Linked DNA regions of Cricetulus griseus. The protein of the gene in region 6 interacts with the protein of the main gene of each other region in a pairwise test. Links are inferred from orthologs where the notes say so. Each region holds a gene or a part of one and is shown on either strand. Other genes may lie near its edges. The genes, in order: Tollip, Ttc19, Zbtb32, Slc6a13, terminal nucleotidyltransferase 5B, Atxn1 and Pepd.

Region 1 (4,089 bases), about 210 Mb from region 6:
GGGAATTTTATGTGATAAAGTTTTTCCTCAGTAACAATTCTCCCTGGTTTTGTTGCTTGTTTTGTTTGTTTGTTTACCTCTTTAATATTGAGGGATTTGGGAATCCATTAAAGGGCATATGTGTGAACATCTCAAACCCAATCATTTTTAGCAGGTCTTAGTCACAAGAAGTTCCTAGTCTGCTGTCCAGATACAATCTTACACAACTTGCAGGATGCCCGGTGCATTTTTAGACACAATTCAGAGGTTTTGTCTATAACCAAGGGGAAAGGATTGTATAGGGATGTGAACCCCAGGAAGGGATCATGGGTCTCTTATAAATTGTCTGCCATATTGGGTGTCGAGTCTTATGTCCTGGTCTGCCTTAGCTTCATCAGCTGCAGACCAGTGAGAACTGGATAGACAGCTGCATCCAGGGACAGAGCCCAGATGCAGTCCCATGTGCTATCAAGGCAGAGACTGGTAATGGAGGTAGAAGATGAGGTCTTAGAGATGAAGGGAACACAATAGAACACAGTGTGAGTGAAGAAATGTACTAGGAGTACATTTGGTGCTGGGCAGTACCAAGTCTACTGCAGCACAAGCGAAAGAGATCTGCAGATCTGGGGCCACCACAGGATAAACTTAAAGGAACTACATTGAGTCTATCTGGCCAAAGGTCCTTCTGAAGAGAGCGCTCTGAAGAGGCAAGAGTGGGTGGCCTGGGTTTCCTAGGGACATCTCTTCCATTCATTTGGCAAATTCAAGGCTGGTGGAAGTGTTCCAGCCCACTCTTGCCTCTCCTTCAGCTTGGCTTCTTTTTTTAACATTTAAATATAAATGTTCTTCCTCCCACAGCATTTTGAAGTAATTCAAGGGCTTGAGGGTAACTGGTTTTACTGCCATCTGCTTTCTCCTCAAGCTGCCAAACATCAGTTTTCTCCTTTCTTCAAGCGGATCAGGCACCTTGCAGGTGGTGGTCTCCTAGCTATCTCCAGCCAGGTGACTGGACGTTGTGACGACTTGACGGAGTTGAGATAAACATCCATGTTTCGGGTGCCTGGTCCTGGGTCAACAGACTGGCTCACGCCGAGAAACACTCAGGTTTAGGCATGCGCAGACAGCCTGGCAGCCATTTTAAGGGCTTACCGTACTACAGGAGTGACCACCGCGCAGGCGTACACGGGAGACTTAACCCGCCCTCACCCCAGCCCTTTGCACGCATGCGCGGATTAGCCGGAAGGGGCGGGATTAGCCATTGCGAAGCGGCTGCGCCTTGGGAATGCCGGGGTGGGGCGGGGCGGGGTGACTGTCAGCTGACTGAGGCGCAGATTGCCTCGCGGGACAACGGTCGGCGACGCAGGTTGAGGTGGGGGCGGAAGAACTCTCCCGGCGGGTCTCTGTGCGGTCGGTGAGGCACAGGGTCGCCGTAACATCATGGCGACCACCGTCAGCACGCAGCGCGGGCCGGTGAGTCCACTGGGCGAGGGCCGGACTGGGGCAACGCAGCCTGAGATCGGGCTCCTCTTGTCAGCCCCTCGTGGGGCCCCTCGCGAGTTGCTCGGCCGTCCCGGAGCTGTGCGGGTCCCACCTTCGGGTACCCAAACGGAGTAGCGACTCTGGTCCTGAGGGTCTCGCGGGTGGAAGAAGGCAGAGCTTGATGGTTCTTTGGATGCCCACGGGCCCTGAAACCCCTGAATCCCTAGAGGGGCCCTGAATCCCTTAGTCCTCCACACAGAGGAACGTGACCCCATTGGTTCCCCATACTGAGAGGGACCCCGACTCCCCTTAGTTCCCCGGGTGGAAAAAGGGTCCCGAACCCCTTACTTCCCCAGATGTATACCAACCCCTTGGTCTCTCAGATGGACATGGGCCCTGACGCTTGGTTCCCCAAATGGAGAGTGGTCCTGACCCTGTTAATTTCCCAAACTGATAGTCTTGGCTCCCATGATCTCTCAGAGGAGTGGGGCCTGACACTCCTCTGATGTTTCAGAGATGGTGAAAGATCCCACTTTGTAATCAGCTCTTAGTTGTGTCAGTTTCTTCCTCTCCCTGCTCCTATAGAGAACAGGGTTGCTACCTCTTGAGCCCGGTTAGTGGCTACCTTTCCAAGTCTCAGTTGTTCATCTATAAATGAGGAGAAGGGAGCAGAAAACGTGGAAAACCAACAGTGATGGCTCCTAAGGGTTGTCTTGGGGTCCACAACACTACCTGTCTCTCCTACCTCTAGTGTGGATGTCCTCCCAGTAGTTCTCTGAGACTGATATGAGTTGGATGTTGTTAGCTAACAGTGGTTATGTGTGTAGAACACAGTTCTGATGGCTCCATTGTCTTTTCCCTGAAGTTATTGAAAGTGTCTGCAAAGCCTTTGGTTTCCCAGGTCCCTCACCCTGACAGCTTGGTGTTGACAGGTGTGTGTGTGTGTGTGTGTGTGTGTGTGTGTGTGTGTGTGTGTGTGTAACAGATAAATCATTGGGGTAGATGACTGATTTTCTGACTTTGAAGAAAGCCCCAGGCAGGGTGCTTTTTTGGAGGGCTTTAAAGCCAGACTTCCTGACCAGAGTTGGGGTTACCTTCATGTTCAGCAACCCTTCTTCATCCTCACTGTGTCTCACCAAACTACAGAAGATTGCTAGTGGCTGACAGAAGAGGAAGGGAGCCAGTACTTTGCTCTTTTCCTATCTCCTGCCAAGTGGACACAGGGCCAGGCAGAGTGGACCGTTCCTTACTGTGTGTCTGAGAGTGCCTTTACTTCTGTGGCTGGACTGCATTTGAATTCATCTGATGGTGAGCTTAATGTCCGTCATTAATTGAGTAAGAAGGTGTCCTCCCGTGTTGCTGAGGGAAACTCTGGTGCTGTGTGTATAGAGCTGGGGTAACCCACGCTGTGATGAGTAATTGGGAGTGTCGGGTGACATTCATACTAGCGCAATCTGTGGAGTCAAGTCCTGACGCTTGATCTTTCTACTTGCCCAGTGTTCTAGGGACCACAGAGTCTTATAAATAAACATAGACAGCTGAATGGTTTTTTAGGAGCACTCTTGATGACTTGTAATATTGTGTCTGGACTCTAAGAAATTGTCATCAGTGACAGATATCTTAGACTTTGCTTGGGATGTATTATTGGCCACAGTATTTAGAGCAATTGGACACTGAGTCAAAAGTGTGGAGCACAGGGACACAGCTATGCATGGTGACCCATATAAAGCCAGAAAATAACAGTCACCATCAGGTCTGTGCTCTTAATCATTGAAAACAGAAAGGTATGGACTTGGTGTGGGAGGAGTGAATGGGTTATGGCCAGGGTCTCTTAAAGACTAGAAGATCTTGAACTTGATCTGGTAAGTGCTGTTTCTTAGAGTGCATGCCTTTTACAGTTTTCAGCTTTTCACTGGCTGCTTCACCTAGAATGATCTACCTATATGCCTCTGGATTCATTAATATTTGCAAAGGTTTTTTTAGCCAGTTGTCAGGGTCTAGTAGAACTGTCAAGAGTGTGGTAGTTCTTCCCTACTATTCATGTCATACTCAGGGTTGTGGAGCTGTAAAGATAAACAGAAGTACACATTTGGTCAGTACTGGGTACTATTGGCAGCCTTCTTTTTGTAACCGCAGCAGGGGGTTAGGCTATGGTTCAGAGTCCCCTTCCCAGGAGCCTGGACTAGGCTTGGGCAGTTGTCTCTATAGCTGACCTTCACCTCTGATGAGTGGGGAAGGACTGACAGTGTCTTGGGAGGCTATAGAAGGCTGAGGACACTCTCATCTGGGCTAGGAGGGTTCTCTATTCTTGGTTGAGGGTTTGGGATGGGGCAAGTATGAGGAGGAGAGCCAGAACCCACATAATTGTGAAGGAATAAGTTTTTCCCTGGGACATTTGGTATTTTACGTTTTTTTTTTGTGTTTTGTTTTTTTTGTTTTGTTTTGTTTTGTTTTGTTTAATAGCCACTATAGGGCACTACAATCTTTCATAGCCATCTCACTTTTGAAAATACTGGTATTTTGAAATTACCCCTTTTGCTACCCAGTCTGCACACCTGCTCCTTTCCTACAGTAGTGGTTTTTTTTTTTTTTTTTTTTTTGCGGGGGGTGGGGTGGGGGGGTGGGGGGGTC
Region 2 (3,500 bases), on a different chromosome or scaffold from region 6:
GTATTAAGAATCTGTGGTTTCTCATCAGCTGGACCTGAAGAATAAGATGTGAGTAACAAAAGACCAACACCATTCACATAAAGTGAAGCCTTTGCTTTGCTGGAGCAGTCAATGCTGCTTAGCCAAAGCTGAAAAATTAGTGGTGATTTTACTACCAGCATCACTGAGGTGGGTAACAGCTGAGGCTTTGGCCCTGTATGGCAAGGGTGGAGTCCTGCACGATGGTAAAAGTGCAGCCTCAGTTGCAGTGGAGGGCCCTAGCATACTGGAGACTAATATCACAGGACAACTGCCAAGGACTAAACAGCTGTGAGGTGGGGCTGACCTACGCCTATAAGCTTTGTATGCAGGAGAGAAAGAGTTGGAGCTGCCTAGCCCTTTGGAGACCAGAAGATCGTGAGTCTCAGACATAACAGCTATTTATACTTCTGAGAAGAATTGGGTTTTGCTTTGATTTCATCATAACCATGCCCTGGTTCTTCCCTCTTAGAATAGAAAGCATGTAACTTACTTTGGTTTTAACAGAAACCCACAGTTGGATATTTTAAAGAGGCTGAATTTAAAGCATTTGAAAAAAATTTTTAAGACTATGCAACTTTTAAAGTATATTATGTTTTAGGCCAGGAGTGGTGACATACACCTTTAATTCCAACACTCAGAAAGCAGAGACAGGTGGATCTCTGAGTTGGAAGCCAGCTTGTCTACACAATGAGAACAAGAATAGCTAGGGCTGACCGTGTCTCAAAAAAGATTATGTTTTATTTTGTGATACTAATATTAACATGACATCTTGGGGACAAGATTGAAAGGTAAGGGTATATGTGAACAGTGATGTGTGTCTGTGTCAAGGTGACAAGGGGTTAATCATGCTATCTAGTTTTTTATCAACATGATACAATTTAGAGTTAAAGAGGGACTCTTGGCTGAGGAAATTCCCCATTAGATTATCCTGTAAGCAAACCTGGGGGGTGGGGTGCAGTTTCTTGATTGATGATTGACATGGAAGGGCCAGCCCATTGTGGTGTTACCCCAGGCAGATAGTCCTGGGGCATATAAGAAAGCAAACTGAGCAAGCCAGGAAAAGCAAGCCAGTAGGCATCATTACTCTGAGGCTTATACTTAGTTCCTGCTTCAACTCTCTACCTTGGCTTCCTTCAATAGACCATATTCTACCGAGCAAAAGAAACCCAAGACAATGGTTCTTAAGGCCTCACAGGTTTCCAGCTTTTGGCAACATCTAAACTGTTTCTTAAAGCCTTCCATGTAGTCAAAGGGCTTTTTCTTCTTTATAAGAATTTAGGGTCATTTGTGGTAATACACAACTTTAATCTCAGCACTCAGGAGGCAGATACAAGTGTGAGTTAGAGGTCAGCCTGGTCTACACATCAAGCTCCAGGATAGCCAGGGCAACATAGAGATGCCTTGTCTCTAAAATAAATTTAAAAAAAAAAAATCAAACTTATCTACCATTTTTAAACCTAATTCCTAACTTCCATATCCAGACTTCCCTCTGCTACTGGCTATATCCCCCTCCAAAATCCTACTGATTATTTCCACCTGCTCTGAAGACATTTAAACAAAACATCTAATTCCACTTATAGCCACCTGTGCTAGATATAGATAGACTTATGACAGCTAGACACAAGCTAGAGTCATCTTTGAGAAGGGAACTCAACTGAGAAAATGCCTCGATTGGGTGGGCTGCACACAAACACGTAGGGCATTTTCTCAGTGACTGGCCTGGATGTGCCACCCTGGACTGGAGGTCTTGGGTGCTACACGAAATCAGGCTAAGCAAAGCAGTAAGCAGCACCTCTCTATGGACTCTGATCAGCTCCTGTCTCCAGGTTTCTGTCCATTTTGAGATCCTGCCTTGGCTTCCCTCTGTATAAAAACACCAAACAAACCCTTCCCATCCCAAGTTGCTTTTGGTCATAATGTTTTAACACAACAAAAGAAACCCTAACTACAACAGCACTTATTTTCCAGAATGAATAGTAAGCTGAGCCAGAGAAAACCAGTAAGTAATTCTCACCATTTAACTTCATACTTAACTTATTCTTTTGCTGGTAGCAGTAGAGGACTTCTTTAAGTCTGTTATGCTGTGGTACTTTTAACACTGTTCCCTTTGCTTCTAGGAAGAGTTAGGTACAGGCCTAACTCTATTTCCTCCTCATTTCAAGCAAGAACTGAATACTTGATTAGCTATCACCATGCAGTTACAGGGATGAGGGCTGTGTAGACCACATCAGGTAGATGGAAACAAAAGGAGGGAACTCAAGATTACAAAGATGAGAAATGCAACACTTTGAGTGTGACATTCAATTTTTTGGAGACCCAGATGATTGACAGGTAAATTAACCTATATAAAACCCCAAGGTCTGAGTGTTCTGCTCATCACTCTACTAGCTAGCCATTGCCACATCCATATTCTGATCATACTTACTTATTCTGAGCAGCATAGATACTGGCCAGCTTCAGAGAGATCTCGATTATTGCATTGTCCTCCTGTTGGAACCAAAAAAGAAAAAGAAGAGAGAGAGAAATAAAAATTTCTTATGGAGTATTTCCAACTTTTCTACTAAATTTGGCCTCAAAGCCAGTCTTTCTTCCTTGAAAAGAATTAACCAACTATGAATTCTTTGGCAATTGTTACTTGGAATCAGTAAAATACTGGCTATTTTTTTTAACAGGTCTAGGGGTAAAATAACCATCTTTTTTTTGTCAAAGTACCTATGTTCTAGGCCTGAGGCTACAGGGCATATCCTGGTTGGTTTTTCGGTCAAGTAAACACAAGCTACAGTTATCTGGAAAGAGGAACTCAATTGAGAAAAATGCCTCCATCAGACTCTAGGCGTGTCTGTGGGGGCATTTTCTTGACTCATGATTGATGTGGGAGGGTCCAGCCCACTGTGGTGGTATCACCCCTAAGCAGGTGGGTTTGGGTGACTGAGAAAGCAAGCTGGGTGAGCCACATGAAGCAAGCCAGTAAGAAGCAGTTCTCTATGTCCTCTGCTTCAGTTCCTGTGTCTAGGTATCTGCCTAGAGTTCCTGCCCTGACATCCCTTAGTGATGGACAGTTACCAGAAAGTTTAAGATAAAATAAAGCCTTTCTTCCCCAAGTTACTTTTGGTCATAGTGTTTTATCACAGCAACAGAAATCCTAACTAAATCAGGGAGTTTTCATTTTGTTAATTGCTTCGATAAGGAGACAATATTAGACAGTGTCCTTACCTGCTTCATGCCTCCTCCAAGCAGGTAACTCATTGTTGCTTTAAAAAGTTGTTCTGCCTAAAAGCATAAAAATTCTTAACAAACCATCTATATATGACCCTTGATTCTAAATACCAAGCTAATTCTCAGAATGCATTGAGACTCTTATAAAGGGACCAAAAGATCAGGATCTCACATCTCCTTAGTACCTTACAAGTAACCTGTGATGAGTGGAAACTAAGTTCAAGAGATTAATCACCTGAACCAATGTCCCCTAATAGTCACCC
Region 3 (4,145 bases), on a different chromosome or scaffold from region 6:
AATCTCGTGTGTTCCCAAGTGTGTGATGTCAGGAATTAGAAAGCCCAGAAATGGAAAATATGTAACTTTCAGGGGAGCAGATGAACACAAGTTGCCATTTGCATTTTCCCTTTCGCTCTGACTCATCTTCCCCTATCTCCACCCTACTGCCCCTTCGCCAGCCTCACCCACCGACACACCCTGTCTGACCTAGGAGGGGCTGACACCTGCCTGCATCCAAGCTAGAATGGGAGGGAAGGCATCCTAGGCCCGGAGGGAGAGAGTAGAAGTCTGGTCTGAATACCCTGGAGCCCTGGAGCCAAAGGGAGAAAAGCAAATGTTACCCCATTGGGGCTAGGAGGGGCCGGAATCCAGGGAGAAACCTATGGGGACCGAGACTGAATCTTGTCACCACAGCGTCTACCAACGTCTGCCTAGTTTCTCTTTTAGCTGTTTATTGTACCTATATGAATACCAGACACATGCCACAAATATCCCAAGATATCTTCTCAGGGAATGGAAAGATCAGCTTAGGAATCGGATTAATAGAATGGAAAAAAAGGAAAAAAAAAAGAAACTGAGTCTCAAAGGGTTTGTCCCTTCCTCAAATTACAGAGTGTCAGAAATGGGTGTGGTGGCACTGGCTGAGGCAGGATAGACATTTCAAGGACATCGTGAGCCACACAGGAAGAGGAGAAGAGACGGTGGTGCTAAAAGCGTGATAAGAGGCGGAAATCTCCAGGGATCTTGACCCCTTGGGCAGAAAGTGAAAGAAGCCCCTGGTTTTGATTTCAGAGAAATGTCATTTGTCATCAGCCCAGGAAAAGGAGATTTTTCTCTTCGAAGACCACCACAGGCTTCCTGGGGTTGCCCCCCTCAGAGTCTGCTTGGAGGATCTGAGTCACACACACACACACACACACAACCCCAGCCCTTGCTGTGGTCCAGAGGACAAGGGTCAACCTCACAGAATAAGAGGGGCTCAATGTACCCAGCCAGGGAGAGAGGAAGGAGGCATGGCCCCCAGTTCCCCCGTGCTTCACATTCTGCTTCAGGCAGAAATGGTCTGCAGCTACTCCACACGTCTGTCACCTCTAAGACAGACCGAATAGCAGCTGAATGCTAGGCTGTACTGGCGGCTACTTCCCTATGCATGGCCCTTGGTCTTCACCCCTCCTCCAAAGGACACCAGTGGTATTTGACGCATGAGGAGACTGAGGCTCAGACAGATGACTTGCCCAAGGTGACTCAACTAGTAAATGGCACAAATGAGGCTCAGCCTCTGACTGTTCCAAAGTACCTGTGGCCACAGTTGATGTCTTTGGCTCTAAGGAATTGACAAATCACAGAGTTAGGTGAGGAGGCAGCCTGGGTTGTTAAAAGTAGATGGGTAGCCTCTGGCAGGTCTCAAGCAGAGACAGAAGGTATAAAGCCACACCCCTTTGGGGGGGACTGTGGCAGACTGATACTTGGGATGACTGAGGACAGGGGTGGAGCTAGCTGGGGTGGGGGGCAGGAGCCCCAAGAGCAGTATCGAGCATGCGAGCATGCGAGCATGCTGCGGTGCTAGGAGGCAGCTACAGAGGTGAGTGTTGTCTCCCGGAGCTGAGCCCCCTCCATTCCAACCATTTCTGTGCAGTCCCTGCCAGCTGGCACCCTTCACCCCAAGGTGTCCAGGTAGTAACCCTCCCTCCCTCCCTCCCACAGGGCCCCGGCTCACGGAGGGCCTGCATGCACCGGGGGTAGGCCTGCTAGGTGCTAAGACACTTGGGCTATTTCTTGATCTGTCTGTCTCCAGTATCCTGGAGGCCTGTGATGGTTTTCTTGTGTGTGATTCAACCCTCGACTTATTGGGCACTTTCTAAACCATTCGTTAGCCTCATTTTGTTCTCCAGTTTCCCTTTCCTTTTTCTCCTTCCACAGGCACCAGAGCCTTCTCTAAACCTCTGGTGTGGCTCTCTCAACTCGCTGGATGGCAATCTCTAGTCTTCCTCATTCCTTCTCTGTGTGCTAGAAGCTCCAGCCTCGGAGTGATGCCTAGCACCTGCTCTCCCTGCCTGGCTGCCTGCGTAACCTGTCCAGCTGTCTGGGCTCACATTGTGGGAAGACCCACAAGCTTTTTGAGGTCTTTCATGAAGTGGCATCTTACTCATTCATAAATGCCAAGTTTTGTGAGGAAAAGCCCAAGCTGCTCAGTGGGTCTTCCCTGCAAAAGAGCCCGGGGAAGCAGCAACCTTTAAACCCGAGTTTGCTAACTGTACGGGTCCTAGACCCCACTGCTTGCTACCTCTGCTAACTGCCTGGCTCTTGCTCCTTAGGCCCCAAACCTGACCCAATGTGGATGGATTCTCTTCCCGCTGCTTCCCCAGCTTGCCTTTGACTTGGTTTATATGACTCATTCAGGACAGACAGCTCCAGTCTGAGACTGGAGAGTCACTCCTCTTTCTCCCCTCCCCTCCACAGGCCTGAGAATATGCGGTTTCTCCCTCCCCTTTCTGCCATGGACCCCCCATTGTGGCTTTTCTGTCAGAGCCTCTGAAACTGGTAGATTAGTCGAGAGCAATGCCCCAGACCCCCACAAGGCTGATCAGCCCCTATGGCTCTGATCGGTTGGTGCAGTTAGCGGCTAGGCTTCGGCCAGCACTGTGTGATACCCTGATCACTGTAGGCGGCCTGGAGTTCCCTGCCCACAGCCTGGTGCTGGCAGGTGCAAGCCCGAGGCTGGGATGCAGGGGCAGGTGGGCTCTGGTTGAAGGCATCAGCCCTTCTACCTTTGCTCAGCTGCTAACCTTTGTGTATGGAGAGAGCGTGGAGCTACAGCCTGGGGAGCTGGGGAACCTTGAAGAGGCGGCCAGAGCCTTGGGGGTGCAGGCCCTGGAAGAGGCATGCAAGCGAGCTCAAAGGGACAAGAACGAAGATGAGCTGCATGGAGGACTGAAGAGGCACCAGGTGTCAGAAGAACTCACGAGGAGTTCTGAGAGAAGACCGGGGGGTCCTGGAGAGAAACAGAGCCCAGAGAAGGATTTTAGGAGTAACAGGAAAGAACAGGAGACGTTACACAAGCGCAGAGCACCCGGAGAGAGCCCTGAGAGGGCAGGGCTAACTAGGAAGATGAGAGCAGAGGAGGCCCTCAGCTCAGCCCCTGGGGGCCACAGGGGAGCAGAAAGGAAGCAAGGAGAGGCCATACAAGGTATAGAGAGCCCTGAGGGCTCTGAGGAGTGTCTTCGTGGGTGCCCTGGTCCCCTTTCCCTACCAGGTTCCCCCCTAACCAGCCTCATTCCCAGGCCCTGGTGGGCTGAGGCCCCTTGGTTGGGAGAGGGCCAACCTGGCCTGTGGAGCATCTTCCTGTGGCCGCCCAGATATGGCATTCCCTCCTCCCTTAGCACCCCCGTCACTGCAGCCTGGCAGGTCTGGCCTCAAGACCAGAGGTGAGTGAAGGGCTTAGTGGAAGGTATCTAGGCTGGGGGGGCTTTAGCTCAGGAGAGGCAGCAGTCATGGGTGGGAGGGAACCACGTCTCCATACGTTTGCTAAGTTAAGGAGACAACAAAATATTCTGATCTTGAGAGAGGCCAGAGCTGGTTAGGTTCTCAGGCTTCGCCAAGGCTGTAATTCTTCTCCACCCAGGATCCCACTGACCTTGAGCCACTCCAAAGGTCTCTGGAGTCAGAATCAGCTGGCCTCCTCTAGCTCCACTCCAGGTAAGCCCCTCATTGTTCCATCCAGGGCTTCTGCACAGCAGCTGGGCTCCAGGAGTCAGGCCTTAGCAGGGCCCCTACTTTACCCTACTTGCAGGATCCTTTCCCCAGGGCCCTGAACAACTCAGCCCTTGGGAGACAAAAGAGTCTGGGTAAGGGTACACAGTAAGCAGGGCGAGAGAACTGCTACCTCAGGGTCACCAAAGCTCTCAATTTCTTGCCTGGATGTATTGACTCAATTCAGGGATTCTGGTCATGCCATCTTGACTTCTCTGTCCACACAGGCACACTGGCAACCTGTGTGGGTCAAGAATGCACACTGAGCTGTCCATCTCACCAACACTCTGCTTTACCCCTTCCTGCTCGCTCCCGGCCCTATTCTTGCTCTGTCTGTGGAAAGAGGTTTTCACTCAAGCACCAGATGGAGACGCATTACCGAGTCCACACAGGTATGGGCATACTGCCCAGTG
Region 4 (3,500 bases), on a different chromosome or scaffold from region 6:
ATCAAATTCAGGTCCTCGTGCTGGCAAGGCTAACATTTTACCAACTGGGTCATATCTTCAGCCCTGCTCTTGCATTTTTACTTCAGAAATATGTCAGATTAATTCTAGGGGAATGAACTAAAGTCATGGTAGAGTTAGTTTTATTTATTTTGAGATAGGGCCTCACTAGTAGACCAGGCTGTCTTTGAACTTGTGGTAATCCAACTGCCTCTGTCTCTTGAGTGCTGAGCATACAGGTATGTGCCACTATGCCTGGCTCCAGCGTTATGTATTTAAACGGTAGCTCAGAGTCTGATAAATATCAAAATTCAGGCTTAACAGCAGAAGACAAGACAAAAGACCAACCTGGGAGACCACTGGAACCACTCCTTGGCCTGGGCTAGGTCTAGCACTTTTTGCTATGGGCCCTGATAGTGGCATGCAAGTCCCTTCCCTCACAGGAGTGGGTGGTATGTGAGACTCTTTGCACTGTCCTGGCCCAAAGCTTCAGTCCCCTCCCCAGGCATCGGCTATGCCTCACAGATAATCGTCAGTCTCCTCAATGTCTACTACATCGTTGTCCTGGCCTGGGCTCTCTTCTACCTCTTCAGCAGCTTCACCACCGACCTCCCCTGGGGAAGTTGCAGCCATGAATGGAATACAGGTAAGATCATTGCGAATAGCCCTCTCCCTTCTCCTGCTTGGCCACCTTCACCAGGAGTGAGGTTGTCATTGTATCCCAGACATCCAATCTCTAGTTCACATTTTGGACTCATAATCTGACAAATAGATTATGATGAACTTCTACGAAGAAGAGTGAGAGGCTGGGACGGAGCTCAGTGACAGACACAGGTCTGGTGTGTGAGTAAGGCCCCAGCTTCCTCCTCCAACACTCCCCTCCAAAGTGAGACTTCGCCAGCCCCACAGCAAAATGTCACGGACTTAAAAAAAAAAAAAAAAAAAAAAACAACTTGATGTATTCTATTTGTGTGCTGTGCAAATAGAACTGGCTTCTTTTACTGTGTTCAGTCACTTATTTGTTTCTATCTGAAATGTGGCCTGTTTGATACGTCAGCGTATTTATTTGTGTTTCATATCTGATATGATTTTAAGTTTTTCCAAACTTGTAATTTATCTGTGCTCAACTCATCCAAGAGTTGTTTTGTCCATTATCAATAAAATTCGCAATGACAACAGTGAAGCTATCCAGGTGGCACTTCTAAACAGCCCTGCCTGTGAGGATGGACATGCTCTCTGTGCAGTCCCCGTGGCTACTGGGCACGTGACATGTGTCCAGGGTGTCTGAGGAGCAGAACTGTGGAATTTTCACTCTAAGTGCCGGAAGGGCTAGTGGCTCGATAGCACAGACAAAGAACTCACTGGCCAGTGTTCTGCTTGGCTTCTCATTGCTCCACGTCATGATCAATGTCCAGGTATCTTTTAGTGCTTGTCCATGAGACAGTGTGAAGGAGTAATGGCAACGATGAATGCATTCTTGTACAGAGAAGCCGTTGGTTCTGAATGGGAGTTTGAATCCTTGACTTGCCAGGTTCAGATTGGCTTTCGTTACACCTTCAGAATCTGGCTTCTGCCTGTTCCTCTTAGCTCACCATGACCACCAGTGGCCTAGTGCTTCCTCCACACAGCCCTTTCAGGCAAGTCCTTGCCCGTCTCTGGTACCACCCGAGTTCCACCATCTTTGTCAAATGAAAAGCCAAATCTTAGAGGTGTGCTTCCCAACACCCAATGATTGCAATAGGCTCCTCCCAAATGACCTTTGGCCGCACACTGACCTTCGGCCCTTCCTGGGCATGCTTCTTCTTGCTGCTTCCTGATGTCATTGTCCTATTAGCTGGAAAGGCTATGAGGCAGGGAATGTGTTTTATCCTAGCATAAGCTGGGTACCTACCTTATAAGCTATCAAGAAATGCTGAAGGCCTGGGACTATGGATCTGACCTAAACCCTGTGACTGGCCATGCATGAAAGCAAAGAGCCCCACTCACCGGGAGCTGTCACTGAGTGGCAAGAGACACCCTGTCTTAGTTCGGGTCACTATTGCTGTGATGAAACACCATGACCAAAAGCAACTTGGGGAGGGAAGGGTTTGTTTGAGCCGCACTTCTGCATCACTGCTCATCACTGAAGGAAGTTAGGACAGGAACAGATACAGGGAGGAAACCTGGAGGCAGGAGCCGACGCAGAAGTCATTAAATAGTACTGCCCACTGACTTGCCCCTCATGACTTTCTCAGCCCGCTTTATTATAGAACCCAGGACCACTAGTCCAGGGATGGAACCACCCACAGTAGGCTGGGCCCTCCCCCATTAGTCACTAATTAAGAAAATGCTCCTTAGCAACGGTTCTCAACCTGTAGGTCATGACTCCATTGGGAGGGGAGGTCACATTTCGGATATCCTGTATATCAGATATTTATATTACAATTCGTAACAATGGTAAAATTATAGTTATGAAGTAACAATGGAATAATTTTATGGTTGGGGGTCACCACAACATGAGAAACTGGATTAGAGGGTTGCAGCATTTGGAAGAATAAGAACCTCTGCTCTATGGGCTAGCCTATAATCCAATTTTTTTTTTTTGAGACAGGGTTTCTCTGTGGCTTTGGAGGCTGTCCTGGAACTAGCTCTTGTAGACCAGCCTAGCTTTGAACTCACAGAAATCCCCCTGCCTCTGCCTCCCGAGTGCTGGGATTGAAGGAGTGCACTACCATCGCCCGGCCTACAACCCAATCTTATGGAGGCATTTTCTCATTTGAGGCTCCTTCCTCTCTAAGGACTCTAGATTGTGTCAGATTGACACAAAACCAGCCAGCACACACACTGGGAGCAAAGCAGAAAGGAATAGAGAGAAGTGGTACATTGTGTCAGGCTTGGCAGCAAACACCCTTGCTCACTGGGCTATTTATGGCCCCCCAAATATCTCTCTTTATATTCCCCAAGATTATATTGATGATAAAACATTAAAAAGAGTGTCAGCATTATATAAAACTCCAAAGTGATGTTCAGGTCATAAAGAGCCACCATTCATTGCCTCACATTTATGTTTTCATTTACTGCTCCACCAGTCCCTTCTATTAATATCTTTGTTCTAGAGATCAGGGAAGTGATGCTTGTGGTGTCAAACTGCCACTCACCCAAGGCCACACAGCCAATACCCTGAGAGTCAGCATTCAAGCCAATGCTCTCTGACCTTGTCCCTTTCAAGCCAGTGCTCTCTGACCTTGTCCCTACATCTGTGTTCTTGGGCACTTTGCTATGTGACTTGCTTAGAAGGTGTTCTTACCATTCCTCCAAAGCTGTGGCTCCACCTGGGACCATTCCCCAGGGAGAGCTTATATTTCAAATCACCTGTCACACAAAGCCTCTTCCCAAGTGCTGTTGGTGCACAAAGACAAACAGTGGAAAGTCCACAGTGGGGGTGTGTGAGAGGTGAGGTCGTCTCGTGGAAGGCTGCTGTGTGGGAGAATGTGTGGCTTGCAGGATTCGAGCCCAGAGCCTTC
Region 5 (4,179 bases), on a different chromosome or scaffold from region 6:
CACACACAGAGTGAATAAATGTAAAGAATAGTAATGGTGCGTGGCGTTGATTCCAGCACATGGAATGCAGAGGCAGGTAGGTGTCTGAGTTCAAGGCCAGCCTGATCTGCATAGTGAGTTATAGATCAGCTAATGAGGCCCTGTCTCCAAAGTATAAAATAAAATAACAAAGAATAAAAATGTTAAAATAGCAACCAACGTCTCTGGGGAGAATACATGGGCATTGCTAAGGCTCACCGGGTGAGCACATGGTGCCTTCTCTCGGGGTTTCCAGGAGAGGGAAACAAGGGTAGCATGGTGCTGGGGCTGGCTTCCAGAAAGAAACGTGTGTGTTCTGCTCTGAGACAGGCTAAGCTGTGTTCTCAGATCCTGGGGTGTATAGCTGCTCCTAAGTTTTGATTCCTCTTCCACGGTCATGTTACTCCTTAGCCTGCCTTATAGATCAGGAGGATGTGGAATTTGTTATGTTATTGGGAGAATGACAAGAAAAAACACTGCAGTTATGAATCAGGGTTACGATTTTTCCTCCTCCCCACGTCACATGTATTTAAAATCTGAAAAAAAATGTAAAACTGGGCAAATTCAAAAGTAGCAATAAGTCTCAGCATCTATGATCTGTAAAGAGAGAGAAGAAAAACAGAAATATCCATTCCAGAAAGGCCCTGGATCTGCCCAGATGGAGCGGAGAGGGGATGTTGCATAGATTTTTACACCTCCATCAGGACCATAACGGGCACTCACACGCTACATGATGGTTGGTAATAATGTCCTCTCTCTGAGCAGATTGCACCTCACCTAAAATGGAACGTGTACGTCAGGCACGCTGTGGTTCGAGGGGCCAATCAAGGGAATAAATTAGAAAGCAGCCGCCTCATTAAACAAGGCGACCTAACTTCACAGAGACCTCCCTCCCTCCTGCCGCTGGAGGGCGCTGTCCCTCTAGATCCCGGCAGGCTCGGGCCAATCACAGGCCGCAGAAGTTCTTTAAAGACCAAAGGAGGGAATTCAGCCGGAGAGAGGGGGCGGGGAAGGGGCGTGCCTTTCAGCCAATCAGAATCCCTAGGAGCCGGTACTCCCGTGAAAAACTGGGTGGGCCAATAGTAGGGGCGGGACGAGAGGCGGGGCGGCTCCCGCTGTGTGACAGCTGTGCCGACCAATGGCGGTGCGGCCCGCGGCCTATAAGACTCAGCTGGGCCCCATCCACCTGGCTCTGAGGTCTGTTAGTCCTAGCCGCCGTCGGAGGTGTCCCCTGGGTTTGCCTCGCCGCCGCCGGGCTCCGCACCCCGCCCCCAGCCTCGGCCGGTGCGCAGACACTCTCACTACTCTCCTCGACTTAAGCATTCCCGGGTTTCTGCCGTCGGGGCGCCGGGGCCGGGCGGATGATGCCGTCGGAGAGTGGAGCTGAGAGCCTGGAGCGGCCAGCTGCGCAAGAGGGGACGGACGAGTCCTTGGCATTGGCCACGGCTGGGGCGGCCGGCGGCGGCCCGGACCCGGAGGCCTCCTCGGCCTCTCCGGGACGACACCAGAGCCGGCTGAGCTGGCCACAGGTGAAGCGGCTGGACGCGCTGCTGAGGGATCCGATCCCCATTCACGGACGAGGCAACTTCCCCACGCTGAGCGTGCAGCCCCGACAGATCGTGCAGGTGAAGGGGCGCTGGCGGGGGCGCGGGCGGGGCGGGGGCGGGCGAGGGGGACGGTGCTCTGCCGCCAGACACCTGGAGTCTGCGATTGGCCCGGCCACTATGAAACTAACTAACTAAGGAATGGGAACCGGGGCTGCCAGCTCTGCTCTCCCCGCACCCTATTGAGCTTTCCTGCCCACAGTCTTGGGGAGTCCTTATCCCCTGGGGACCACTCACCAAGACCCAGGCTGGGAGATGAGGAAGCACTAGATGGAGGCATCTCTCTATCTGCAAGCAAAGGCAGCCGCCAATGAGGAGTGCGTGTGCTTTGTTCCAAAATAGCTTTCTTCCTCTACTCCACATCCTTGGACCTCCTGCACCCTCAGGGTTCCAGGGGCACTGTCCTTAGGTTCCCACAGCCCTTGGCTCAAGAAACCTTGGCTAGGTGAGACAGTTCAGAAATCCTTGGGAAGATTCATGCCTCCCACGTGCTTTGGCCAGACCCGAGATCCCACCCCTGAAGATAGCATCAAATTTCCATTTTAGGTGTTCCTCCTCCTTTAAGACTGGAAATGACCCCAAAGCACTATCCACCTCCTGAGGATGTTTGGGGAAGGCTTTAGCAGCTGCTCCCTCCATCAAATTCCATCTTCCTTTTTCTTAACCCTGTATGACCTCAAACTTACTCTTTGGGGCTATAGCCCGAGCGCTTCGGTATTCTGAAATATCAAGGGGGTGCCTGTTCTCATCCCCCGCCCCCATTCCAGCTGAGGCCTCAGGTAGGAGGTGAGCTGCTGCCTAAGACTACTTTGTATGGTGGAGATAAAACTCGGGGGATTCCGGGGGTTCCCCGGGAACAGATGGTACAGGTTCCAGAGTTAGCCACCACTCCCCTGACTCCCAAGTTCAGCATCTAGATCTTAGGCGAGTCCAATAATAGAAACCAGAAAAGTCTAGTGATGCTTCCTGTGTGTTATTGCCACTCATGGACTTTACACACAAACCAGGTAAAGCTGGACATCCCCCTGCTACTCTGGCCTCCAACAGAGAGGGAGGGTGGCTGCTGGGGATTGGTCTTACCCTCCCTTCCTAGGAACAAGGAATGAGACAGAGGGGGCAGGGATGGATTCTCCTGGGCTGACTCACTGGTTGTCCCAGTGGAGCTGGCTAAAGCATTCCTTGCTTGCCCACTGTTGTCTGGATTATTAATAAGCCTGCTTTGACTTGTTTTGTTTTGAGGCAGGGTCTTCCTATGTTTTGCCTGGCCACCTTCTCAAACTTGTAGGCCCAAATGATCCACCTGCCCCAGTGTCTTGAGTAGCTGGGATTACAGGTGAATGCTTGTTTTTCTCTTGAGGAAATACCATAGTCCCAGGCATGCAGGGATGCAAAGGTGCTGCCCAGAGTGATCACACCTCAGCAGGAACAAGTATCTAAACTGACACTAAGGGCACAAATGTGACTGGGTACCAACCTCTGTCTCCTAGTCACGTGAGGGCGCCAATTTCATGGTATGGCCCCCTAAACTAGGGGTATCCCAGAACAGGGAACTGTTGGCTGTGGAGTAGGGAGGTGGCAGAGGCCTCAGGGCTAGACTGAAGTTGGGTGTCTGGGTTCATTGTTTATTCCCTCAGCTGGGCTTCATGCCCCCACCCCATCTGTGCAATGGAAGTGGATTTGACTACTCAGCAATATCCTGTCTGGTTCCAGACTCCCAAGGGAACATGGGCCTTCGCCTGCCTATGCAATCAGTCTGTCTCCTGGTGGGGATCCACAGCTAGCAGCTTTAAAAGCTGTGGGGATATTAAGGATCTGGGGAGGGAGGAACTTTCAGGGCTTCTCCCCAGTGCTTCCTGGTTCAAGAATGGAAGCCTTCTACCTTTGCACCCAACAGGGTCTTCCCTACTGCAGCAATCTGAGCAGCTAGAAAAATACATCCTTGCTTGTGCCTGGCTAAAGGGACCCCTTCTTACTGGATCCCCTTCTCTAGTTCTGGAGACCGGGTTCTAGTTCAACTCAGCCACTTACTGTGCTTGTGACCTTGAACAAGTCATTTGCTTTCTTACCCCAGAGAACTGAACTAAACGATCTGATCTCTCCAGCAGCAGCCAGAGGGCTTGCTCTTGCAAGCTTTGCAACTCTTCAGTCTTCCCAAGGTCTCAGCAGAAGCCCTGGACAGAGCAATTTGGGGAATTGGGTGCCTCAGGACAGGAGAAGGAAGCTACAGTCAGTGCCCCCTCCATGGTTGGAAAGTCTGATTTGGGAGGCTGCAAGCTGCCCTGCAGTCCTTGGGTGTGGCAGTATCTGGGGACCGCCTGTCAAACTGGCAATAGTCATACCTGGGAAAGAGACAACTGACACAACTGGCCCCATGGCCCTGACGCAGGGGATATAATGAGGGGATTGCTACGTCCTCACTCACCTGGCTAGATGCCATGCCCTGGAGTGGGCATCAGCTGGGGAGCAGGAGTTGGCACTAAGGCCCAGTCAGCTCACCTGAGACTCACGGAGGGGGATGGTCTCTCACTGGCTACCTGGGGACAGTTGCTGGGGTGTG
Region 6 (3,500 bases):
TCGTATTGAGGATGCTGGCGGCAAGCATCCTGTCTTCCCAGGCTCACATGGCAACGCCTTTCTTACTACATTTCCCAGAATCCTCCTTGACTCCCACCTATCCTGCTTCCTCATTGGCCAACAGTGCTTTATTCATCAACCAATAAGACAAACACATACACAGAAGGCCTTCCCCCATCAACTAACCTTTTTGTGAAAGGAATTTACAAAATGCATCATCATCTAGGAAAAAAAAAAAAAAAAAAAAAAGCAGATTGCCACACACCTGTGATCCCAGTACTTACTTGGGAGAGGCTGAGTCAGGAGGATCATGAATTCAAGGCCAGCCTCCATTACACAGCCAATTTGAGGCCAGCCAGAACAACAAGAGCGCCTTATAAAAGAGAAAAATGGATTATCTACCTCCTCTCCAAGGAGAGAAAAAAATGGTGGAAGAGGAAAGAAAGTGTGGAGAAATGTTTGAACTGCCTACTCTGTTTTATTAAGAAAGTATGTCTGGGCTAGACAGATGGCTGATGATCAAGAGTTTACTGTTCTTATAGGGGACCCAGGTTCAGGTCCTAGCACCCACATGGTGGATTACAACTGCCCATAACTCTAGTGCCAGGGAATGCAATGCCCTCTTCTGGCCTCTGTGGGTACTGGGACATACATACATAAACTCACGCAGGCGCTTATGCACACACAACACACACACACACACACACACACACACACACACACACACACACACACACACAAATCATAAGCAAATGAGCAAATGTTTAAGAATAGTACACGCTTAAACTTACTTATTTATTGATTCTTATTAGCTCAAATTAGCCTAGCTCGTATTTTATCTATTTTAACAGTTGAGCTATAATCTGCTTTTGGAATGCCCACAGAATCCAGGGTCTCCTCTTACTCTTGGTGGTAATAAGGTTTTTGGTTGGTGAGTGGGTGGACTGTTGGTTTGACCTGATGGAGTTTTTCCCCCAGAGCTGATGTTTTGGTTTTCTTCTTCTCCCCTTCCTCCCCACCCGCAACCCCCCCCCCCCGCCCTTCTCTCTTTCCTGTCCCACTCCTGGTCTCTTTCCCTTCTCAGAATCCGGAGCTGCTACTGCCGGCCTAGCAAACCCACGGGGAGATGATTCCTCATGAAGGGCCTGGATCCCCTACAGAAATCCAATGTGACTCTCTGTCTATCAGACTAAAATCAGAGCCAGCCAGACAGTGAAACAGCCACCGTGGAGGGGGGACGGCGAAAAATGAAATCCAACCAAGAGAGGAGCAATGAATGCCTGCCTCCTAAAAAACGTGAGATCCCCGCCACCAGCCGGCCCTCTGAGGAGAAGGCCACTGCTCTGCCCAGCGACAACCACTGCGTGGAGGGTGTGGCATGGCTCCCCAGCACCCCTGGCAGCCGCAGCCATGGGGGTGGGCGGCACGGGCCAGCAGGGACTTCCGGGGAGCTTGGTTTACAAGGAATGGGTTTACATAAAGCACTGTCCGCAGGGCTGGACTACTCCCCACCCAGTGCCCCCAGGTCAGTCCCCACAGCTACCACGCTGCCCGCAGTGTACCCTCCTCCTCCGTCAGGGACTCCAGTGTCCCCAGTGCAGTATGCCCACCTGTCACACACCTTCCAGTTCATTGGGTCCTCCCAATACAGTGGGCCCTACGCTGGCTTTATCCCTTCCCAGCTAATCTCCCCATCAGGCAACCCGGTCACCAGTGCGGTGGCCTCGGCTGCAGGGGCCACCACTCCATCACAGCGCTCCCAGCTGGAGGCCTATTCCACCCTGCTGGCCAACATGGGCAGTCTGAGCCAGGCACCGGGACATAAGATTGAGCCCCCACCGCAGCAGCACCTCAGCAGGGCTGCGGGGCTAGTCACCCCGGGGTCCCCGCCACCCACCCAGCAGAATCAGTACATTCATATTTCCAGCTCTCCACAGAGCTCTGGGCGGGCAGCATCTCCCCCACCCATTCCGGTCCACCTCCATCCCCATCAGACGATGATCCCGCACACACTCACCCTGGGGCCCTCGTCCCAGGTGGTCGTGCAATACAGCGATGCCGGAGGCCACTTTGTTCCTCGAGAGTCCACCAAAAAAGCAGAAAGCAGCAGGTTGCAGCAGGCTATGCAAGCCAAGGAGGTCCTGAATGGGGAGATGGAGAAGAGTCGGAGGTATGGGGCACCGTCCTCTGTGGAGCTGAGCCTGGGAAAGGCAAGCGGCAAGTCAGTGCCTCATCCTTATGAGTCCCGGCATGTGGTGGTCCACCCAAGCCCAGCAGACTACAGCAGTCGTGATACCTCTGGGGTCCGTGGATCTGTGATGGTCCTGCCCAACAACAACACACCCTCAGCTGACCTGGAGGCGCAGCAGGCCACACATCGCGAGGCCTCGCCATCCACCCTCAATGACAAGAGCAGCCTGCACTTAGGGAAGCCCGGCCACCGCTCCTATGCACTGTCCCCACACACGGTCATTCAGACGACACACAGTGCATCAGAGCCTCTCCCAGTGGGCCTGCCAGCCACAGCCTTCTATGCTGGGACTCAGCCTCCTGTCATCGGCTACCTGAGTGGCCAGCAGCAAGCAATCACCTACGCCGGCAGTCTGCCCCAGCACCTGGTGATCCCAGGTACCCAGCCTCTGCTCATCCCTGTGGGCAGCCCTGACATGGACACACCTGGGGCAGCCTCGGCCATAGTCACATCTTCACCCCAGTTTGCTGCAGTGCCTCACACGTTTGTCACCACCGCCCTGCCCAAGAGCGAGAACTTCAACCCCGAGGCCCTGGTCACCCAGGCCGCCTACCCAGCCATGGTGCAGGCCCAGATCCACCTGCCCGTGGTGCAGTCAGTGGCATCCCCTGCCGCCGCGCCACCCACGCTGCCACCATATTTCATGAAAGGCTCCATCATCCAACTGGCCAACGGGGAGCTGAAAAAGGTGGAGGACCTGAAGACGGAGGACTTCATCCAGAGTGCAGAGATTAGTAATGACCTCAAGATTGACTCCAGCACAGTGGAGAGGATCGAAGACAGCCACAGCCCCGGTGTGGCCGTGATACAATTCGCCGTTGGTGAACATCGAGCCCAGGTAACCCTCACCAGGGTCATTCAGGTAGGGAGCCCCTACCCCCATTCTGTCATCTCCTGGCAAAGTGATTGCTTCTGGCAGGTAGGGTTCTCATTGGTACCCGGTGCTATGAGGGGCAGGGATGCTTGCAGTGATCCAGGGGCAAGGAAACTGAGAAGAATTGCCTTCCACATGATCTTCATTAAGAAAGCTAGGGCATCGTGGCTATAGGCAGCCATGCTGCAGCCCTCTGGGGAGAGAGAGAACCTTCAGTGCTGAAGAAGAGCTTCCTCACGGGAAAGCCACCACAGATACTGTGATGGATCCCAGAGGCGTGTCATGGGGTGGGATTCTTGTCATTGGGTTTTAGGGTGACCTGGACTGTGTGTCAGAAGTCACAAAGTAGGAAAATGCAGATTCCCAGGATTGTCC
Region 7 (3,187 bases), on a different chromosome or scaffold from region 6:
ATGCAAGACTAGCCAGCCTTCTGGGCCAGATGCAGCACCTGTATCTGTCAGGGAGTCAGGACAGCCTGCTCAGGTCATACGAGTAACAGCTAGGATCCCGGTACCCAGCCTCCACCCCTGAAATGCCACCCATTAAATTTCGAAAGCTCTCACGCACAGGGTGCAGACTGGGTCAGAGTTGTATGTCTAGGAGGACCCCAGATTCGAGGCAGCAATAACCAGACGCTCCCCAGGTTTGCCCAGCAGCAGATTCTAGACCCTAGGAAGGCTGGCTCCGCCTCAGAGCCAAACCTCCCACCTCTCCACATACACGGCTTGGGCCATGGGTCCCACAGCACCCTATGAGCTAGCCTTGCTGGAAAGGGACTCCTCACCGGCTTTCTATCAGCCACGGAGGCTCCGCAGTCTGGGCCTCCAGGCCTGGCCCTTTCTGGTTCATTATCCTCTAGACCTCCCTGATGCTGTAACCCTTTATGGTGACCCCCAGCCATAACATTATTTTGGTTGCTACTTTATGACTTATTTTGCCACTATTATGAATCATATTGTAAATATCTGATGAGACCCCCCCCCAAGGGTCGACCCCTAGAGGGATTGTGGCCCACAGGGTGAGAACCACTGCTGGAGGCCCTTGAATTATGTAGGTTTCTCACCCTCCCTTCTCGCAGCGTTGCTCATCAAGGGGTGAGGTGATGTGACCACAGGCCAGGCTCTAAGCCAGAGTAGGACATGGCTGAGACGCCTTTGGTGTTGACTGGGAGGACAACGCCGTCATCTACCCTCTAACCGGTGCACTGCTGTGACCTAGGCTCAGCCTTTATGGGATCAGGGCTGAAGACTACCCTGGGCCTAGGTCCTTGTCTGGTGGTCTCCCTGGAGACCACCATAGCAGGCAGGGCAGTCCCTGAAGCTGTCTGAGGCCCTCCAGGGGCCTATTAGTCCAAGCAGTGCTGACTGTCCTTAAACCCCAGAGCCATGAAGCCCATCTGGCCCCTGAAGCTATGAGCATGGGAGGTATCTTAGGGTTTCTGTGGTTGTGATGAAGCACCCCCAAAGCAACCTCGGGAGACTCAGCAGTTTATTTGGCTTATATAACAGTTCGTTAGAGAAGCCTGGGCAGGAACTCAAACAGGGCAGGAACCTTTAGGCAGGAGCTGATGGCCATGGAGAGGGAGAATTGCTGCTTACTGGCTTGCTCTTCATGGCTTATTCAGCCTGCTTTCTTATAGAACCCAGGACCCCCGGCCCAGAGATGGCCCCACCCACAATGGGCTGGGCCTCCCTCATCAATCACTAAGAAAATGTCCTACAAGCTTGCCTGCAACATGACCTTATGGAGGCATTTTCTCCAATAACTAGCCTGTGTCAAGTTGGCATAAAACTAGCCGGCATAGAAAGCTCCCCGCAGTGACCTTTGCTCCAGAAACTTGGGGCAGAGATGAGTTTGATTAGCAGCCTGGGCTTAGACATCTAGGCAACTATGGAGATGGTTCCAGACCCCTGCCCACCAGAGGGTGAGGCCCCACCAGCTGTCCCTTCCCCCGGAAACCTTTGTTCCCACAGCAGCTTCCAGACTGAGTTAGCCATCCTGGGGTGTGCAGGGATGCCTGGGCCTGAGCCACCCACTTCAGCTCTTGAGCAGAACAACCAAGCCCGTGGCTTTGGGTGACAGAAGCTTGGCCCTGCACTATGATGGTGCAGAGTCTGGGTCCTCACCCCGCGGTCTGTAGAGCCCCGGCTTACCATGGCCTCTCCTTCAACCCTAGGTGTCTGGTGGCCTGACATGCACCGGCTGGCCGACCGTATCCACCTGGAGGAACTGACCCGCATTGGCCTCCTGAGTGGCAGTGTAGACGCCATGCTCCAGGTCCACCTGGGGGCAGTCTTCATGCCACATGGGCTCGGTCACTTCCTGGGCCTCGATGTGCACGACGTGGGCGGCTACCCTGAGGTTAGTTAGTGCACATGCTGGTCTCCCTGTGCCTGGAGCTTACTGGGGTAGAGTGGGGGTTCATGGGGGCGGGGGGGGGGTACTGGAGATACAGTCAAACAGGAGGATGGGTCTCCCTGTGACACACAGGAAGTGAGTCCCGGACACACAGGGTGGGTCAGTGAGTGGACTTCCCCAGTAGCTGCAAAGGCTTCAGGCTTGGAGGTGGAGGCCTCTGTTTATGAGGCCTCAGGACACACGCTGTGTGCACAGCATCTGTGCAAAGGTTCCCCAGAAGATAACGGAGCTGAAGCCAGGTTTCAGAGTCACACCAAAGCCTGCACGTCCTTCATTCACACTGCCTTCAGCCCTTTGCTCAGCAGCAGAGCCCTTGCCAGCTCCCTCGCTGCCTCACCCTCTGCCTCCCGGGCCACTGGCAGGAGAGGAAGGCTTGAGGGGCACCTTCAGACAGGGCTCCCTCGCCCTCTCGTGCTGCCAGCTCTCCAGGGACCACCCAGTGGGTTCCAGAGGGCTCCTGGGAAGCCCTTACTGGGCAGGTGGCTACAGCCCCTCGGGGCCCATTCCTGCTGCCCAGCCTGGCCTGGGGCCCACCGTGCAGGGGGCGGATTGTGCAACTGGTGCACACCCTGGGGCCCCCCAGCCAGTTAGCCAAGCCTGGACCCAGCCTCTTGGCTGTGGGGTATTTTGAAAGCACAGAGAATGATTTGGGGGGAGGGGAGGATTGCTCAAGAGAAGCATTATTATTCAATTATTTTTTTCTCAAGTGTAAACAGTTAAATTTGGAGAAACAAAATCAGTTTTAATTTCCTAATTTCTGTCCATCCTATTGTGTGCAGGGAGCCAAGAGCAGGCCCTTCCAGACATTGTTAGTTGAGGTTCGTTATTCATTAGTCGCCAAAGTCCTTTTTTCCACCAAAGAAAATTGGCAGCAAACTGTTTTCATCTTTTCCAGTAAGCAGCCCTTTGTGCTCAGTCTATTCTTCTGACAGATAAACACTGTGGAAAAAATATGGCTTTTCCTATAAAAGTCATTTGTTTTATTTCAGGCCTACAGACACATCTGGGTCTCTCCTCAGAGTCCAGTACAAGTTGAGGCCCCACTGAGCCTTCTGCCCAGGCAGAGTAGTGGGCATGGACACCCCTAGCATAGCTGGCATCCCCATCCTTGGCCCGTGGGTCACTTGGACCGGCTCACCAGCCTCCTCTAAGCTATGTCTGTTGGAGGGCAGCCTGTAA

The links.
Region 1: the proteins of Atxn1 (region 6) and Tollip interact in binary tests that used the Homo sapiens proteins (3 or more experiments, as listed by UniProt). The link is inferred for Cricetulus griseus from reciprocal best matches to the Homo sapiens genes ATXN1 and TOLLIP.
Region 2: the proteins of Atxn1 (region 6) and Ttc19 interact in binary tests that used the Homo sapiens proteins (3 or more experiments, as listed by UniProt). The link is inferred for Cricetulus griseus from reciprocal best matches to the Homo sapiens genes ATXN1 and TTC19.
Region 3: the proteins of Atxn1 (region 6) and Zbtb32 interact in a two-hybrid assay, tested with the Homo sapiens proteins (2 studies listed by BioGRID and IntAct). The link is inferred for Cricetulus griseus from reciprocal best matches to the Homo sapiens genes ATXN1 and ZBTB32.
Region 4: the proteins of Atxn1 (region 6) and Slc6a13 interact in binary tests that used the Homo sapiens proteins (3 or more experiments, as listed by UniProt). The link is inferred for Cricetulus griseus from reciprocal best matches to the Homo sapiens genes ATXN1 and SLC6A13.
Region 5: the proteins of Atxn1 (region 6) and terminal nucleotidyltransferase 5B interact in binary tests that used the Homo sapiens proteins (3 or more experiments, as listed by UniProt). The link is inferred for Cricetulus griseus from reciprocal best matches to the Homo sapiens genes ATXN1 and TENT5B.
Region 7: the proteins of Atxn1 (region 6) and Pepd interact in binary tests that used the Homo sapiens proteins (3 or more experiments, as listed by UniProt). The link is inferred for Cricetulus griseus from reciprocal best matches to the Homo sapiens genes ATXN1 and PEPD.

What each region holds. Positions count from the first base shown.
Region 1 is NC_048596.1:59,283,494-59,287,582, forward strand, and holds the start of Tollip (toll-interacting protein), read left to right. Parts: upstream 1-1,289; 5' UTR 1,290-1,416; coding exon 1,417-1,449; intron 1,450-4,089. UniProt on the Homo sapiens protein: Component of the signaling pathway of IL-1 and Toll-like receptors. Inhibits cell activation by microbial products. Recruits IRAK1 to the IL-1 receptor complex. Inhibits IRAK1 phosphorylation and kinase activity.
Region 2 is NC_048600.1:76,307,606-76,311,105, reverse strand, and holds part of Ttc19 (tetratricopeptide repeat protein 19, mitochondrial), read right to left. Parts: intron 3,292-3,500; coding exon 3,235-3,291; intron 2,509-3,234; coding exon 2,447-2,508; intron 1-2,446. UniProt on the Homo sapiens protein: Required for the preservation of the structural and functional integrity of mitochondrial respiratory complex III by allowing the physiological turnover of the Rieske protein UQCRFS1.
Region 3 is NC_048602.1:5,237,712-5,241,856, forward strand, and holds the start of Zbtb32 (zinc finger and BTB domain-containing protein 32), read left to right. Parts: upstream 1-1,345; 5' UTR 1,346-1,564; intron 1,565-2,442; 5' UTR 2,443-2,541; coding exon 2,542-3,407; intron 3,408-3,604; coding exon 3,605-3,678; intron 3,679-3,959; coding exon 3,960-4,124; intron 4,125-4,145. UniProt on the Homo sapiens protein: DNA-binding protein that binds to the to a 5'-TGTACAGTGT-3' core sequence. May function as a transcriptional transactivator and transcriptional repressor. Probably exerts its repressor effect by preventing GATA3 from binding to DNA.
Region 4 is NC_048601.1:23,582,513-23,586,012, reverse strand, and holds part of Slc6a13 (sodium- and chloride-dependent GABA transporter 2), read left to right. Parts: intron 1-502; coding exon 503-643; intron 644-3,500. UniProt on the Homo sapiens protein: Mediates sodium- and chloride-dependent transport of gamma-aminobutyric acid (GABA). Mediates transport of beta-alanine. Can also mediate transport of taurine and hypotaurine.
Region 5 is NC_048595.1:19,784,018-19,788,196, reverse strand, and holds the start of terminal nucleotidyltransferase 5B, read left to right. Parts: upstream 1-1,379; coding exon 1,380-1,643; intron 1,644-4,179. UniProt on the Homo sapiens protein: Catalyzes the transfer of one adenosine molecule from an ATP to an mRNA poly(A) tail bearing a 3'-OH terminal group in an ATP hydrolysis-dependent manner.
Region 6 is NC_048596.1:265,280,488-265,283,987, reverse strand, and holds part of Atxn1 (ataxin-1), read left to right. Parts: intron 1-1,084; 5' UTR 1,085-1,247; coding exon 1,248-3,089; intron 3,090-3,500. UniProt on the Homo sapiens protein: Chromatin-binding factor that repress Notch signaling in the absence of Notch intracellular domain by acting as a CBF1 corepressor. Binds to the HEY promoter and might assist, along with NCOR2, RBPJ-mediated repression. Binds RNA in vitro.
Region 7 is NC_048602.1:3,456,029-3,459,215, reverse strand, and holds part of Pepd (xaa-Pro dipeptidase), read left to right. Parts: intron 1-1,766; coding exon 1,767-1,951; intron 1,952-3,187. UniProt on the Homo sapiens protein: Dipeptidase that catalyzes the hydrolysis of dipeptides with a prolyl (Xaa-Pro) or hydroxyprolyl residue in the C-terminal position.